2 linked regions of the Struthio camelus genome follow. The main gene of each other region encodes a partner of the protein of the gene in region 2 in a complex. Links are inferred from orthologs where the notes say so. Each region holds a gene or a part of one and is shown on either strand. Other genes may lie near its edges.

Evidence for each region. Proteins that work in one complex are often made in the same cells at the same time.
Region 1: the proteins of CIC (region 2) and ATXN1 are in contact, whole or in part, in an NMR structure (PDB 2M41), measured with the Homo sapiens proteins. The link is inferred for Struthio camelus from reciprocal best matches to the Homo sapiens genes CIC and ATXN1. Residues at the interface, in NP_001291744.1 of Homo sapiens: Val943, Phe944, Pro945, Trp946, His947, Ser948, Leu949, Val950, Pro951, Phe952, Leu953, Ala954, Ser956, Gln957; in NP_000323.2 of Homo sapiens: Pro572, Tyr573, Phe574, Ser578, Ile579, Ile580, Gln581, Leu582, Ala583, Leu587, Val590, Leu593, Phe598, Ser601, Ala602, Leu608, Asp611, Ser613, Phe631, Val633, Ala638, Gln639, Val640, Val642, Tyr648, Pro649, Phe650, Phe651, Trp657, Ile683.

The regions. Positions count from the first base shown.
Region 1 is NC_090943.1:99,619,847-99,627,609, forward strand, and holds the start of ATXN1 (ataxin-1), read right to left. Parts: upstream 3,111-7,763; 5' UTR 2,763-3,110; intron 1,977-2,762; exon of another isoform or gene 1,882-1,976; intron 1,334-1,881; exon of another isoform or gene 1,175-1,333; intron 1,114-1,174; exon of another isoform or gene 799-1,113; intron 732-798; exon of another isoform or gene 514-731; intron 1-513. UniProt on the Homo sapiens protein: Chromatin-binding factor that repress Notch signaling in the absence of Notch intracellular domain by acting as a CBF1 corepressor. Binds to the HEY promoter and might assist, along with NCOR2, RBPJ-mediated repression. Binds RNA in vitro.
Region 2 is NC_090980.1:392,533-399,907, reverse strand, and holds the start of CIC (protein capicua homolog), read right to left. Parts: upstream 3,066-7,375; 5' UTR 2,949-3,065; intron 2,517-2,948; exon of another isoform or gene 2,181-2,516; intron 2,117-2,180; exon of another isoform or gene 1,808-2,116; intron 776-1,807; 5' UTR 740-775; coding exon 1-739. Other genes in the region: ETS domain-containing transcription factor ERF, read left to right, coding at 5,038-5,059. UniProt on the Homo sapiens protein: Transcriptional repressor which plays a role in development of the central nervous system (CNS). In concert with ATXN1 and ATXN1L, involved in brain development.

The sequences.
Region 1 (7,763 bases), on a different chromosome or scaffold from region 2:
ATCTTAATTTTACTGGTCAGAACATGTAAAGTATAGTACATGAATGGAGAATTACAGGTCTGTGGCCTAAAATACTAACGCACGGAGAGAAACTCTCATGAGCTTACGAACCACTTCAGCCTGCAAGCGGTTAAAACAGCCAGCCAACACAAAAGGACGACTCTGAAGAAACTTTTATGCGAGCTTTTATAAACGAAGAGGATTTTTAAAGGAAGTACCACACCTCTGCTAATTCGCTAATAATCGGCACAAGCGGAACCGACGATTTGGCTAACTCGATACGCACACCATATACTATGCCTGATACTACAGCACGCAAGGAATATTTTCCGGCCGAAGGAGGGAAACGCTCAGGGGCATCCTCCGATATCCCGCGGGGTAAAGCCAGGGGCCGCCCGGGCTGCACGGGGCGATACCACCCGCACGCCCCGCGAGGTGGCCCGGGCACACAGCGGGCGCACGCGCGCATGCACACACACACACACACACACACACACACACGCGCACGCACACCTGAACGGACGAGAAATACCGTCTGTTACCATGGCAGCCTCATCTAATTACCGGAGCGACGGGGGCTGGAGTAGGTGCCCTGGAAACCTGTGCCACCGGCACGCAGCTACGCGGGAGCGACGGGCGAGAGCCGGAGGGGATCTATCCACCTCCGCCTTACGTAAAAAAGCCGTGCGACTAGTAAAGTCGCCCTCCAGAAAGCACCGCTGCCTGTAAAACAGTGGGCCGTTTGTACGGACAAATTAGGGGCAATAACGTAAAAACTACATCGTGCTGTTCTCTCACCGTACCTCAGCAACAACTCCAGTGCGGCATTTTTTCCCCCGACCAGTCTCAATTTCTTTTCTCCCTCATTCACAACCTTTGATCCCTGTTACAAAGCTGAACTGTCTTCATCACCCAAAGAGAAATAGATTAACGTGAAGGCTGGATTTTCCTTTAATGAAAGCTTTCAATCGAAACCGAAATTAAAAGTCCTTGACTTCCCAGCACGTAAGCGAAGTAACTCACTATGCCTGACCACATCTGACATGTAAAGTAACCATTACCGCATAAAATAATACATTACCATGAACAGTAAAGGTTAAATGCAACTTGCCTTACAAAATACAAATTTCTTTACCATATGAAATGGACAAGATCTCCAGCAAAGGTCACCTACCTGCACAATTCCTGATTCGTCCACAAAATACATCTGTAAGGAGCAACGTTTTACCAAGCTAGCTTCCTTCGTGTGGGCATAACAGGAATGCCTTGTAATTTCTGCTAATTCTGCCTGGAGTTCAGGCTCACAGGGGAGAGATGCTGCTTGGAGGAGTCCCTATTACACAGCATACGGTAAACAAAATAAAAATAGCCCGTCGTTCCTGTTATCTACATAGTGCATTATATAACGGGCTTCCGACTTGTTTTCTTTTCTATTATTACTCTTCAGCAATTCCTCCCCTTCAGTAACATGTAAATCGCTCCCCATTCTGTCATTTGATTATTACCGCTATTACTATTACAGCCGGCGCTAACGTTTTCCAGCACGCTTTAAATTAAGACTCCGATATGCTCAAGGAACCGCATTTTACGGCTTCAGCACCTACAGGCGTCTAAAAACAAGGATTGGGGGGTGGGGGGAGAGGGAGGGAGGGAGGGAGGGAGTCATTTATCTGCGTTCACGCCGGCAAATTCCGCCGCTTCAGGCAAATAAATAAATAGATCTCAACAAGTCAGAAAAATATATATAATAATAACCGGGGGGGGGGGACAGCGTCGCCCGGACGGGGCTCCCGCAGCACCCCGGCCGCCAGCGGGGACCCGGCCCCCTCCCGGCCCCGGCCGCCCCTCTCCCCTGCCCCCCTCCCCCCGCGCTGCCAGTACCAGGTGGCGCCTCCGGCCGGCCCGGGCCCCTACGTGCGGCAGCGGCGGCGGCGCGGGGCCGCTGCCGGGCACAGCCCCGCCGCAGCGCCGCCTCCTCCGCCTCGCCCGCCCCCCGCTTCATTCACCCCTCCGGCAGCCGCCCGGCCCCTACTACAGACGCCGTGCGGCGGCGGCGGCCGGGCCCCCGCCCCGCCGGGCCCGCCCGCCCGCACGCACTACACAGCCACACAACCTCCCCACCCGCCGCCAACGGCCGCACACTCACCCCCCCCCCAACCACTACACACCACCACAACCCCCCTCCCCGCACAGTCAGACACACACACACACACACACACACACACACACACACACACACACACACACACACACACACACACAGCCCGAGGCCGCCGCCGCCGCACCAGGGGCGGCCGCGGCTCGCAAAATGTCCACCGTCCCCGCAGACACCGACACCCCCGGCCGGGCCGCGCCGCGCCGCGGCGGGGGGGGGGGGGTTGGGAGGATGAGGAAGGTGCGGCGGGGGGGGGGGGGCGGAGAAGAGAGGGCCTCACCAGCAACTCCGGCCGCGGGGCTGCCCCCCCCCGCCCCCCGGCCCGGCTCCTTCCCTTCCCCTCGGAGGACATTTCCCGCCCGGCCGCCCCCTCCCGCGGCGGCGGCGCTCGGCCATTTCGCGGCCCCCCGCGGCCGGGGCCCGGGCCCGGGCCCGGGCGGTGCGCTCCCCCCCCCCCCCCCCCGCAACCCTGTGTTTTTCCAGCTGGAAATCGCTGGCGGTTCGCAGTCTAAACAAGGGAAGAAGCCGGGGAGAGGGAAAGGGGGGGGGGATGGAAACAAGGCACAAAAAAAAAAAAAAGCTGAGGAGGAAGAAAAAAGCCACTTACTGTAAAGTGTCAGTGGAGGTGGGGTTGGCGGGGGGGGGGCCAGAGGGAGACTCGCGCACTAATGTCCTCCTAGCTGCTCACAGGGCTTGGGGCTGCTTGTTCGGGGCGGGGGGGGGAGGTGGTGGTGGTTGTTGTTGTTGTTTGGTTGGTTGGTTGGTTTTTTTCCTTCCCCCTGCAGTGACACAGGTCCGGGATGTCTCCACCACTGTAGTAGAAATGATGTCTGCGGTACAGAGCTCGCTCCCTCTCCTCTCTCTCTCTCTCTCTCTCTCTCTCTCCAGTATGTAAATGTGTAACAGAAGCCAAATATGGAGCAGTTGGCTGCCTCTGCAACAGCTCAAGGATCCTACTTCATGCAAACGGGGGGGGGGGGGGGGGAGAGCAGGGAGAGGAGGAGGAGGAGGAGGAGGAGGAGGCAAGGCAGCGCTTTGGCAGGCGGCCAGCAGAGCCACACAGATTATTGCATCCGCGCAGCGCCGCCGCCGCCTTAACCCTTTGCGGCCGCTGCTGCTGCGGCGGCGGCTGCTGCGCGCCCCGCGGGCCGCCGCGTCGCCCCTTGCGCCGCCACCACCGCCCTTTTATTTTTTAACACCTCAAAGGCCAGGCCGGCTCCCGGCGGCGGGGTTCGTGTGCGCACGCCGCTGCTGTGCACAACCGCCTGCTCCTCGGGATCGCCGAGCACTTTGCAAGCAGGAAGAAATACATTTGGGGGGGGGAGGGGGGAAGGAAGGCCAAAGGGAAAAAAAAAACTATATGGCTTACCAAGGAAAGAAGAGCCGACTAGCAAAGCATGCTGTCCTTCAGAAATGGCAGGGAATGCTGGTTTAAGGGATGCATGAAAATCAGCGGCTCAATCAAGGCTGGTCTGCCTCTCTAAGGGAGGAAATAAAACTGTGCTGGAAGCCAGGGAATGCTCTGAAGCAGCCTCTGTGAGAGTCAGAAAGGGGTGATTTTATTTAAGATGCCATATTGCATTTCGCTGTGGAGAACTGCAAAGTGTTTTTGAGCAAGAGCCTGCATCCCACTCCCGTTTTCTGAATTAGTTTTATTTATCCAGATCCTTGGCATATACTTGAGTTGCTTTGCAAAAAGTACCTTCTACTTCATTCAGACCAAAAGAGAGTCTGACTCATATCATCACTGAACTACAAGACAGTCAGGGCTGAACCACGCATGTTTGGGTACTAAGGCTCTCCAGATGCTTAGCACGCATTTCATCCAAGATCCCTTCACATCTCTCCCAGCTGTACACAGACCACCGTGAGTCCCTCCCGAACTCTCCCCTTGGCTAAGGCAGTTTACACTTCCACAATGCTCCAGCATCAGCTCGTTAGCCCCTTACTGCTCTCAACATGGGTCTCCGTAGTTCATAAACTGCAGTGATGGGCAAACAACAAACACAGATGCAAACTGGAGACCAAAGTAAATGTCCTCTTTCTGGACTGGCTCAGTCTGGTCTTCCAAGTTTTAGGAGAAAAGAAAAGACAAAACACAATATTACCAAGACGGGTACAGTTTAAGGAAATTAAAACAATTAATGGAAGAAACAAATGGGAAGAATACAACCAAAGGATGGTAGGGCTGTTAGGCTTGCATGCAACCTGACAGCGGGTCCATAAGCAACTACTCGTGCTCTGCTTTGGCATCAGGAAGGGACGTGCCGCATGGAGAAAGCCTCCCCCCCGCCACCACCACATTGCAAAACCGTTGCATAAATACTGAAGGCAATTATATGCCTGCTCCACCGAGCTGGAGGCTGTGCGATAGATGCACCAATGCACAAGCCTTGGAAAGGCTCCAGGGAGCAGTGTATGTGGACTCCCTGCAATATGTCCATTCAGACCAGACTGCTCATTGCAGCTTGTACCAATTTGCCCACACCACAACAGACTCCAAGGGAGCAGATTCTAGTGTAGATATATGTGTCCATTAGATATTTCTAGCATTAGAGGTTAGATGCAAAATACCCTAGGACTCTCTCTGTCATTCTGCTGATCAGCAAGTCGTCCCTTCTATAAACAACTGTGCTAGTTCACCGTAATTGCTAAAGAATGTAATAATAACATTTTAAGCTGCAGCGCTCTTGATTTAGAGTAGATACTGAATACAGACTCACTTTATGAAGCGTAAGAATCTTCTACTACTGCAGCCTCTACATCTTTAGTTCAGGTTCACTATGAAATCCAACATCATCTTCCATTTTATGAGTGATCTGGGGATAGGAGCAGCAACAGGCCAAGATGTCTGGTCAAACCTGCCACTCAGCACCATGTGATAGCGCATATCCAGCAGCAAAGCAGAAAGCAAAATTATCTTCAACCAGCTAACGCAAGGTTCATTGATTTACCAAAAGTAACCAAGGGAGAGAAACAGGGACTGAGGATTACTGAAAATCAAGTGAAAGCCCTGGAGAAGCTGCAACCCCGTCACCAGGGTTCATGTCTGAGTATGCGGCAGTCTCCCGTCCGCCACCTTTTTTATTCCAGTTGCACAGAGTGTTACCTCAGGAGAAAGGAATCTTTCCTTCTCAGCCGCTCGCTCACCTTGCCAAGAGGTGTGGCACACGCCGGGAAAGAGAAGCCACATTCATGCTGAAGCAAGCTTTGGGCAACTTTCCCTTCTGCAGCAGGCTCATGTAAGAGGCTTGTGTTATTTCTCCGTTCTGCGGCTATGGTGTTTGCCACAGGACCCACGTTTTTTTGCCACGCACGAGGCGCTGAGCTCCTAAATCTCTGCCTGTGTTTCTGCCTCAGAGTTGAAAAGAGACCCCTAAAATGTAAGTCAGTAAGAAATCAAAGCAATATTGTCTTCCTGAGCCAGCAGGCAACCTTAAAACCGTAGCTTTGGGAAATGCCATAACTCCAGCCAACCACCTCAGGTTCATAAGCCGTTCCTCGCCTTCTTCTGACTGGGAATATGTCGGGTGCATAACAGGCGAAAAAGAGATGGGGACTCCCCTTATCATGCCTCCCTTAACATTGCCTGGCCCAGAGGATATACTACCATATCACGAGATGTCATTGTGCCTTTGCAGTTCCTTTATTCAGGGCCTATACTGGGACTCCAGCTATTCTCTATTCTATACCACAACATACAGAAGGGCTGCTGAGGGCCAAGGGGCTGCGAAACAGCACTTGAATGTGATCTGTGGTGACTGGCTGGGGCAAAGGTCGCTTAGTGTGTACTAAGGCAGTGTGGCCTATTGACTCAGAGGTGCAGGACTATGCCCCAAGAGAAGGAGTCACTTGCTACAGAGAATAAACCTGAATTTACCTGCCACCAGGAAGGTTCTCACAGCAGAGGGAGGCAACTCAGCAGCAAAGAGGTGAGGTCTTGCTCCAGGGCTAGCCCGGGTACGTCAAACGGGCTCTCACAGCAGCTCCGAACTGCCCTAAACTGCCTCACCTTGCCCCCTCTGACAAGGGCATATAGCAACAGGGGTGGACCCCAAAGTAGTAGCAAAATTCCAAAACAACCTATTCTGTTACCGGCTGTCCTGCCCTCAGGGGAGAGAGTGAGCCACGAAATCCAGGACAGATGCTAGTCACGTGGTTGAGCGCAGTGTGGACGGGGCTCAGATACTGCAGTGGCGAGTGGGACGCAAGAACACACGTAGACTCCAGCATTTTTATTTACTGCTGGTGACATGCCAAAAGTGATATGACTCCCAGCTGAATGCGCTCTTGACCAAAAGCCATTAATCAATTTGACATGGAAGGTGCACACTGTCTAGAAGAAACTGTCTTTCAATGCACTAGTTGTACTGTGTCATCTACACTGCGTATTTTATACAATTAATAGTTAACTATGAAAAATGAGGGAATACGAGGCATAAGAAGTTGGATTTTTTTTAACATTCGCACCCAGGGAAATCCAGTGATTAGAGACGTACTGCGTGTGAAAAATAATCTTAAAATTATCAATCATTACAGTCTAAGTCTTCAATTTGTCATAAAATGACATTGTTGGTCTCATTACAGCCTCTAGTGGACAGTAGTAATCCACTTCACAGACCTGTCATACACTTTGCTCAAGTGACAGGCATTACCAAGGTGGAGGTTACTGTGAAAGAGAATGAACGTACAATCAGTTTTCTCCTGTGGCAAAAAAGGATTTTTGAATACAATCAGAGGCTTGTTGGCATTGCTCTTAAGGTGTCTTGCTTTGTGCTTCAGGTATTAATACTGGCTTGCAAATAAACAGAGAATTTCTGCTATCCATTTCAGTTTCAGACAGCTTTCATAAAAACTAAATTCATCTCAAATATTTTTATAACAGAAAATATCGGTTGCCATGCTTTTGGCTTAAGTACGATGTTTTTATTCCAACTCAGAATCTGCCGACTGTCCAATCCACCTCCTGTCTATTTATAGCCCTCTTGTATTCAGATAATTTTCAATAATGCAGTTATTTTCATTTTTATTTCAGACATATGCAGTTGATTTAAGGTATTTTAGGAGCTCTAACATATGAGAAATTCTAATTTGGATTACAGCAGACTAATTAAGGTACACTTTCCTCAGGGAAGTTAAAAATGAACACGATCAGCACAAGAACATATTTGGAATGTATTCTTTAACTTGAAGTGCCACTTATGTGAACATAATGGCATGTGACTAACATCTTTATTTTCTCTGCGTTCTCTTAGAAATGAGTGTAGCCCCTATCAGAATAGGGATGTTGAGGATGTTCTCCAGAGCTCCGACTGTGATTGTTTTCAGATGGAAGGGAATTAGATTGGCAGACCCAGAGAGCCAATGCTGTCTCTTTAAAGCCACAAGTATCTCATGCAAATTAACATTTAGTGAAATGAGAGCTAAGCATTCATGAAGACTAAGCAAGTATGTAGTACTACAGTACGACTCAAAGAGAAAAACTTTTGGTCTAAAATGCTGAGGTCCTTTGGAAGCAGATTCCAAAGAAAGGCTGCTGTTCATTTTTTTATTTTACCACATCATGCCGAGTTACGTGTTGTAGTGGCCTCTGAAAAAATCATTCTCT
Region 2 (7,375 bases):
GGTAGCAGGTGGCTTTGGCGCCGATCTCCACCACGGTGCCTTCGCGGTAGCCGCCGTCCTCCTCCTCCTCCTCCTGCAGGCGGGCGCAGACGGCCGTGCCCAGCGCCAGGGTGCCTGGCGGCGGCGCGGCGTCCAGCACCACGTCCGGGGCCGCCGCCGCGTAGTACGTCAGGCTGCGCTCGCCGGCGAACTGCACGGCCAGCTCCCGCCCGCGCTCCCGCACCTGCTTCACCACCGCTGGCTGGAAGAGGCCGCCGGGGCGGCGCGCCAGCACCCGCTGCGCCCGCAGGCGCCGCAGCGCCGCCCGGCCAGGGCCGCCCGCCTCGTCGGCTGAGTGCTCGCTGGCCGTGTCGGTGCCGGAGGAGGACGGGCCGGGCGCCCCTTCGGCCTCCTCGTCCTCCTCCTCCTCGCCGCTCCACTCCTCGCCCGCTGGTGGCTTCTTGCGTGGTGCCCGGGCCTTGAAGGTGGCCGTCTTGCGGCTGCCCGGCGGCTCCTCGCCGCTGGCGTCCCGCGGCCCTGGATCCGTCTGCACCGCTGCTGCCGCTGCTTCCTCGCCGCCGCCGTCTTCCTCGCCCTCCAGCTTTGGCCCGCTGGCGGCACCCTCGGGTGCACGGCGCTTGGGCACCTTGGGGCGGCCGGTGGGCGGCAGTCGCCCGCTGCTCCCGCACAAGGACGAGGAGGAAGAGGAGGAGGAAGAGGAAGAGGAGGAGGAGCTGCCGGCCTTCCTCACCGGTTTCATCTTCCTCTTGCCAGGCCGGGCTTCAGCCACGGGGAGCTGTGGGGAGAGAGTTAAAGTGGGGGGTCAGGGGGGGTCATCAAAATGCCTGGGCTGGGCCTGTGGCCTCTACGTGGCATAGGGGCACACCGGGGTGGGGGGGGGGAGAATATGGGGGGGTGGCCCCTAGTGGGGGGCTAGTATCTTGGGAGGGGAATCAGGCATTTGGGGGGGGGGAATTGCCCCTGGAGGGGGGTGATCATCATCAGGGGGGGAAATTGGCCCTTAGGGGCAGCTTGGGGGGGGGACTAGCCCCTTGGGGGGGGAATTGCCCCCTGGGGGGGGAATGGTATCATGGGGGGGCACCTTGGGGGAGAGAACAGCCCCTTGAGGGGGGACGAACCCCTTTGGGGGGGTCCTGGTACCTTTAGGAGGGGACCATCACCCAGGAGTGGCTCCTGGGTGTGGGGGGGGACCAATCCCTTGGGGGGAGCAGCCCCTTGGAGGCACCTTGGGGGGGGGCAGCAGCCCCTGGGGGGGTCACCTGGTCCCTCGGGGGGGACATCGACCCCTTGGGGGGCACTGGTTCCTGGCAGGGGGGACACTGGCCCCTGCTCGCAGCTCCCCAGGCCCGGCCCAGCAAGGTCTCTCCCCCCGGGCCCAGAGCCCCGTCACAGGGCCATGTCTGCCCTCTCCGTGACCCCCCCACAACCACCCCCCCGGTCCCCCTCAGGGAAGACTGGGTGGATCCTGCCCCCCCAGCCAGTGGGGTGGTCCCTCCTGCCCCCCTGCCCGGTAACCCCGGGGGGCCCCCAACCCCCCCATTCCCGGAGAGGGGTGGTATGTCCCAGCAACCCCCTCCCGGGGGGGTACTTTTGGCCATTCCCCCCCAAAAAAAAATTCGGGGGGGGTCGGTCCCTAATAGTGACACCCACTATTTGGAGGTTTTGGGACACTTCCCGTTTTGGGGGTGTCGGTGCCCCCCTACCGCTCCCCCTTGCAGTTTTTGAGGGGGCGGAGTTGGTACGTCCCAACCTTCCCCCTCCCCCCAGTTTCGGGGGTGTTGGTACCTCCCAGTGCCCCCCCCATTACCTGTTCGCCCCCCCCGCGCCGTGCGAGGGGGGAGCCTGGCGCAGCCCGCTCCCCCCCGCTCTGCGGAGAGGTTGGTACAGCCCGGCCCCCCCTGTCCCCCGCGGGATGGTCCAGCCCGAGCCCCTCTCGGGCCCCTCCGAGCCCCTTTTACTCCAACCGACAAAATGGTGAATGAATCTGGACCAGCTGGCGGCGCCGGCCAATCGACGGCCACAACCGCCCGACTGGCGGCGGGCGCGGCCAACCGGCGCGCAGCACGGCCCGGTCTCGGCCCGCCCCCTCAGACTGTCACTCCTGCCGGCCAACCGCCGCCTCGCGGGGGCGGGACAGCTGCGCGGCGCGGCCCGCCCCTCCGCCCTCGAGCGGCACTTACAGTAGCCAATGAGAAGGCGCGGCTGGGGGCCGCGGGGAGGTGCTGCGTATACAGTAGCCAATGGAGGCCCCGTGGGGGCGGGGCGAGGCTAGGCCCAGACTTGTTTACCTGGCGCTGCGCGAGGAGGAAGCGCGGGGCCGCGCGGCGGCTGCCGGGACGGGTAGTTCCTCGCGGGAGCGGCGCCGCCTAAGCCGGTGGGCGAGAACTACAGCTCCCAGCATGCCCCAGCGAGGATGCGGGAAGGGGCGCGCAAGGGCGCCTGGGAGAGGTGGTCCTCCGCGGCCGCCTGGCAGGCCGGGGAGGTGGCCGCGGCTCCCGGCATGCCCCGCGCGAAGCCTGCCGGGAGTTGTAGTTCGCACCTCTCCCTGCCGGCAGCGCGGCGCGGGGGCTGACGGGAGCGGGGCTTCGCAAGAGGTGGCGATAGCGGCCCCCCCTGCCTTCAGGTGTCCCGGGCAGGGAAGCGACTACGGCTCCCGTCAGGCCCCGCGGCACCGCGGCCCGCTGGGAGTTGTAGTCCCGCGCGGGCACCGCCCCCGGCTTGGGCGCGCGGGAAGGACTACAGGTCCCGGCATGCCACGCGGAGGCCCCTCCCCTTCCTCCTCCCCCTCCCGCCCCTCAGGGCCGGGGAGTCCAACTCCTCGGGGAGGGGGGAGGGGACAGCAGCCCCCTCCCCGCGCCCCCCCGCTCCCCTCCCGCCCGCCCCCGCCCCTCCCGGGGGCGCTCCATTTGCATGTCATTTGCATCTCATTAGCATATGCATGAGCTCACCCGGCGGCCTCTCCCGGTCCCCGTCTCGCCCCGTCCGGGCCCCTCGCGCTTCCCCTCAGCAACAGCGGAGCCGCCGCCGACAGACGCCCGGCCAATCAGAGGCCGGACCGGGCACCCCCCCACACTCCCCACGTGGGGCCCGGGGGCGGGGCCCTGGCCAGCCAATCTGCCCCCGGGGCGGCCGAGGGATGAGGTCACCGCTCGGCGCTCCCATTGGGTGGCGGCAGTGCCAGCGCGGGCCAATCGCCGCCCGCCTCCGGCAGGACGGGGAACGAGGAGAGCGGGAGGGGGGAGGAGCGCACGCGGGGCGTGTGTGACACGCTGGAGCCTGCCGGAGCCCCGCCCCCGCCCCCGCCCCCGCCCCGCCCCCGCGCGCCCCGCCCCGCCCCGCGCACGCACGCGCACTGGCACGCCCCGAGCGGCGCGCGCTGCCGCGGCGTGGGGCGGGCGCGCATGGGGCGAGCTCACGTGCCGTGCAGCGGCGCGGGGCGGTCGCGTGCACCGTGCAACGGCGTGGGCTGCGCCCGCGTGGGGCGGGCCCACTGGGGCGTGCATGTGCCGTGCAACAGCATAGGGGGGAAAGGGTGCACGCGCGGCCTGTGCGCTCGTGCCGCGCACTGCCGAGGGGTTTGCGTACGGGCGCGTGCACGCGGCACGCGCAGGCGTGGGGTGGGAACGCGCGCCGTGCAACGGCGTGGGGGGAGGTCCCGGGCTGCGCTGCCCCTTTAAGAGCGGCTTTTGCCCCCCCCCACCCTGTTATCAGCCGGGCTCTGATAAGGTTTTAATTGGGCCCGGCGGGGCTTTGCACGGCCCTCGTGTGAGGGGGCCCAGTGCCCCTCGTGCCTCAGTTTCCCCTGGCCGGGGTAAATGGGCAGGATTTGGGGTGGGGGGGAGGGGTAGCCGCTTAATGCATCTCCTGCACCGCAAACTTCCAGCCGATAATTATAGTCGGGGAAGCTGCATTATTTATACGGCGCCTATTTATAACCCGGGGCCCGGCCCTGGCGGCACCAGCCCCGGCCCGCGGCCCCCAGCCGGCGCCCGCTGCCGCCTCCGGCCTCCCGGCTCAGCCCTGGCCCCGCGCATGCGAGGCCCCGTGCAAGGTCCTGCAAAGAGATGTATGCGAGAGCTGGTGCAGGGGTGCGTGTGACAGCCTGTGCGATGGCACCCATAAGGCAGCGTGCGAGTGCACGTGTGAGGGCAGTGCAAGGCCCCATGCTGGGATGCGTGCGAGGCCCTGTGTAAGGCTCCATGCAAGGCTCTGTGTGAGAGTGCGTGCGAGGCCCCGTGCAATAGCACATGTGAGGGCACGCAGAAAGCCTTATGCAAGGCCCTGGACAAGGGCACGTGCAAGACCTGGTGCAGGGGTGCGTGCAAGGCCCTGTGCAAGGGTGTGTGCACGGGTGTGCGCAAGGCCTGGTGCTCGGGCACGTGCAAGGGCCGGGGGTGCAAGCGGCCCAGCAAGGTGCACGGGCGCTGGGGAGTTGCATCAGCCGCCAGCACAAACGAGGCAAAACAACCTGGGAGGTTAATTACCCCCCACGGGGGCCGCTCATGCCAGGGCCTCGCGTGCTGGGGCCTTTGCCTCCTGGCCTGGCCCTGCGGCTGCGTGTGGAACACGCCGGGCCTGCATGTCATGAGCTTTGTCGGGTCTCAGCCCAGATCCCAGAAGGGGTCTTCATGGGGACCCCCTTTCCCCTCCTGCCCCAGATGTCACTGTCCCAATCACCCCTCCCCATCTGCCCCCTCCTGCCTCATGGACCCCGTTGTCCCCAATTGCCCCCTCCTGCCCCATGTGCCTCCCTCCTACACCATTGCCCCTTTCTGCCCCATCGCCCCTCCCCGCGCGGCCCCTTTAAGCGCCCCCTCCTTCCCCTCCCCCCGTGGGCGTGGCCGGGCGGGGAGGCGGTGGCGGGAGGGGGAGGGGGGCGGGCTTAGTGTCCATGGCGACGCGGCGGTGACGTGAGCAGGGGGCGTGGGCGTCCCGGGCTGGCGGGGAGGGCGGGGGGCGGCGGCGGCGGGGGGGGGCGGCGGGGGGGCCGAGCCCGACACCGACCCGGCGGCGGCGGCGGCTGCAGCGCGCGGAGCCATGAAGACGCCGGCGGACGCAGGTGGGGACTGCGCCCCCCCCCCGGGGCGGGGGGGGACTTACCCGGGGGGAGGGGAAGTTTTTATATCTGTAATTTTATTTCGCCGCGGGGGGGGGGGGAAGAAGAGCGGCGGCGCCGGTTGACGGGGGCGAAAGTTGCCCCCCCGCCGCCGCCGCACAAACTTTGGGCCCCCCCCGCCCCACGTGGGCGGCCGCCCCCGCGCCCGGATCTACTACTGTTTTTAAAGGGGGGGGCCGCTGGGGGGGGGGAGGAACCCCCGGCGGGGGGGCGGGGGGCTCCGGCGGAGTTGGCGGCGCCGGGACCTGTTGCTTCGCGCGAAGCGGCGGCGCCGGCCGGGCCCCCCCATAACCAGGCGCCTGCGGGGGGGGGTATTTGTTCCCCCGGGGGGGTCATTTATTTGCCCAGGCGGGTGTTTATCCCCGCGGGGGAGGTTTTATCCCCGCGGGGGGGGGGCATTTATTCGCGGGGGGAATCTCCGCGGGGGGGTGTTTATCCCCACCGGGGGGGTGTTTTCCCGCGGGGGGTGTTTTTCCCGGGGGGGAGGGGCGCGGGGGGGGCTGTGCCACGTTGTGTGTGCGCGCGGGGGGGAGGGGCGCCGCGGGGAGGGGGCGGGGGGGTCGTGTCCCCCCTCCCCCCGTATCCCCCCTCCCCCCCCGCGCCAAGTTGCCGTCGGCGCCTTTTGGGAACTTTTTTTTTGTTCCCGACAAACAACGAGGGTTTAAGGTGGCGCCGGCTGGGGGCGGGGAGGGGGGGGTCGTCGTGACCCCCCCCAACACCGCTGGGGGGGCGGGCTAGCGGTCACGGCGCCGTGGGGGGGCGCCCCCCCCCCGCGCGGTGCCACCTGAAACGTGTTAGGGGGAGGCGAAGGTTGGGGTCGGACTTTACCCCCCCCGGCCCACCTTAAGGGGGGGGGCGGGCGCTGCGGTGCCCCCCCCCCCGCCCCGATTGTCTGCAGGAATCCGGCCGGGCTGGAGCGCGTCTCGCTCCTGTTCAAACTTGTCCCCTCCCCCGCCCCGTACCCCTGCCGCCGCCGGCCCCGCCCCCCGCCCGCGGCAGGCCCCGCCCCGGCCCCGCCCCCTCCCCCGCGGAACTCGCCGAAACTTTGCGCCCCGCGGGGGGGGGGGAAGGGCGGGGCGTGACCCCCCCCGCAGAGTTGGGGGTCCCGGCGCCCCCCAAGTGTGGGGGCCGGGGTCCCTGTGCTCCCCAGGTGTGAGGTTTGGGGGGGGCCGGGGATCCTCTGCCCCCCGCGTGGGGGACCCCCAATAAGGGGGGGGTGGGTGGGTCCCACGTGCGGGACGGGATTGGGGGGGGGGACATGTTCCCCCTATCTGGGGGGTCAGACTTGGGGGTCTGTGTGTCCCCTCCCGAGGGGCTCATCGTCATGACCTCCCTCCATGTGTGGGGCCGGGGGGGGGGTGATGCAATGCAGGGGGGGAGCGACGACACGGGACACGAGTCCGGGGGGCCCAGGCGTGCTCGGGGGGGGCGGGGAGGAAACTTGGAGCGGGACGGCCGGCGGACAGGGCGTGCTTTGTGTGCGCGGGCGTGTGCGCAGGCGTGTGCGGGGGGGGCCGGTGCCCACGCGTGCTCCAGGCGCTGGGGCGGGGGCGCAACGCACACGCGTGTGTGGGGGGTGGGGGCGCACACACCAGCTCGCACGCATGTGTGGGGGGAAGGTCACTCTCGCACACGCGTGTGTGTGGGGGAGGACATGCTTGCACACGTGTGTGCGGGGGGCCCTCACCTGTGTCGTGCCCCCCTCCAAGGGCTGTGCAGAGCTCGGGGCCGCGAGAACCCCCGGACACCTGGGCCCCCGGGGCCGTGTTGTGCTGGGGGGTGTCCCGGACACCTGGGCTGTGGTGGGCTGGGGGGCGTCCCGGATGCCTGGGCCCCATGGCCCCCCCGCAGGACTTGGGGGGGGCGGCCAGGAACAGTGGTCCATTGATGGGGCCGCGGCCGCCGCTGATGTCACGTCCCAGCCCCCCCCTTCCCCCCTCCCAGCTAATTAGCGAGAACAGGCCCCGAGTGTGCTGACGAGGGGGAGGGGTGGCCAGAGGGGGCTATGGGGTGCCACTAGCCCATGGGGTGAGGCTGGGCGTGGGGGGGGGTATGGGGCTATGGGGCACCAATAGCCCAGGGTTGTTGTTTATTGGGCCACTTATGGGGTGCCCCATACCCGGGGGGGCTGGTTATGGGGCAAAGGTGCTGTTCATGGGGGCAGTTATGGGGTGCCCCATAAGCCAGGGTTGCTGCTTATGGAGGGGGCAGTTATGGGGCACCCCATAGCCTGGAGGTGCCAGTTATGGGGTGCCCCAT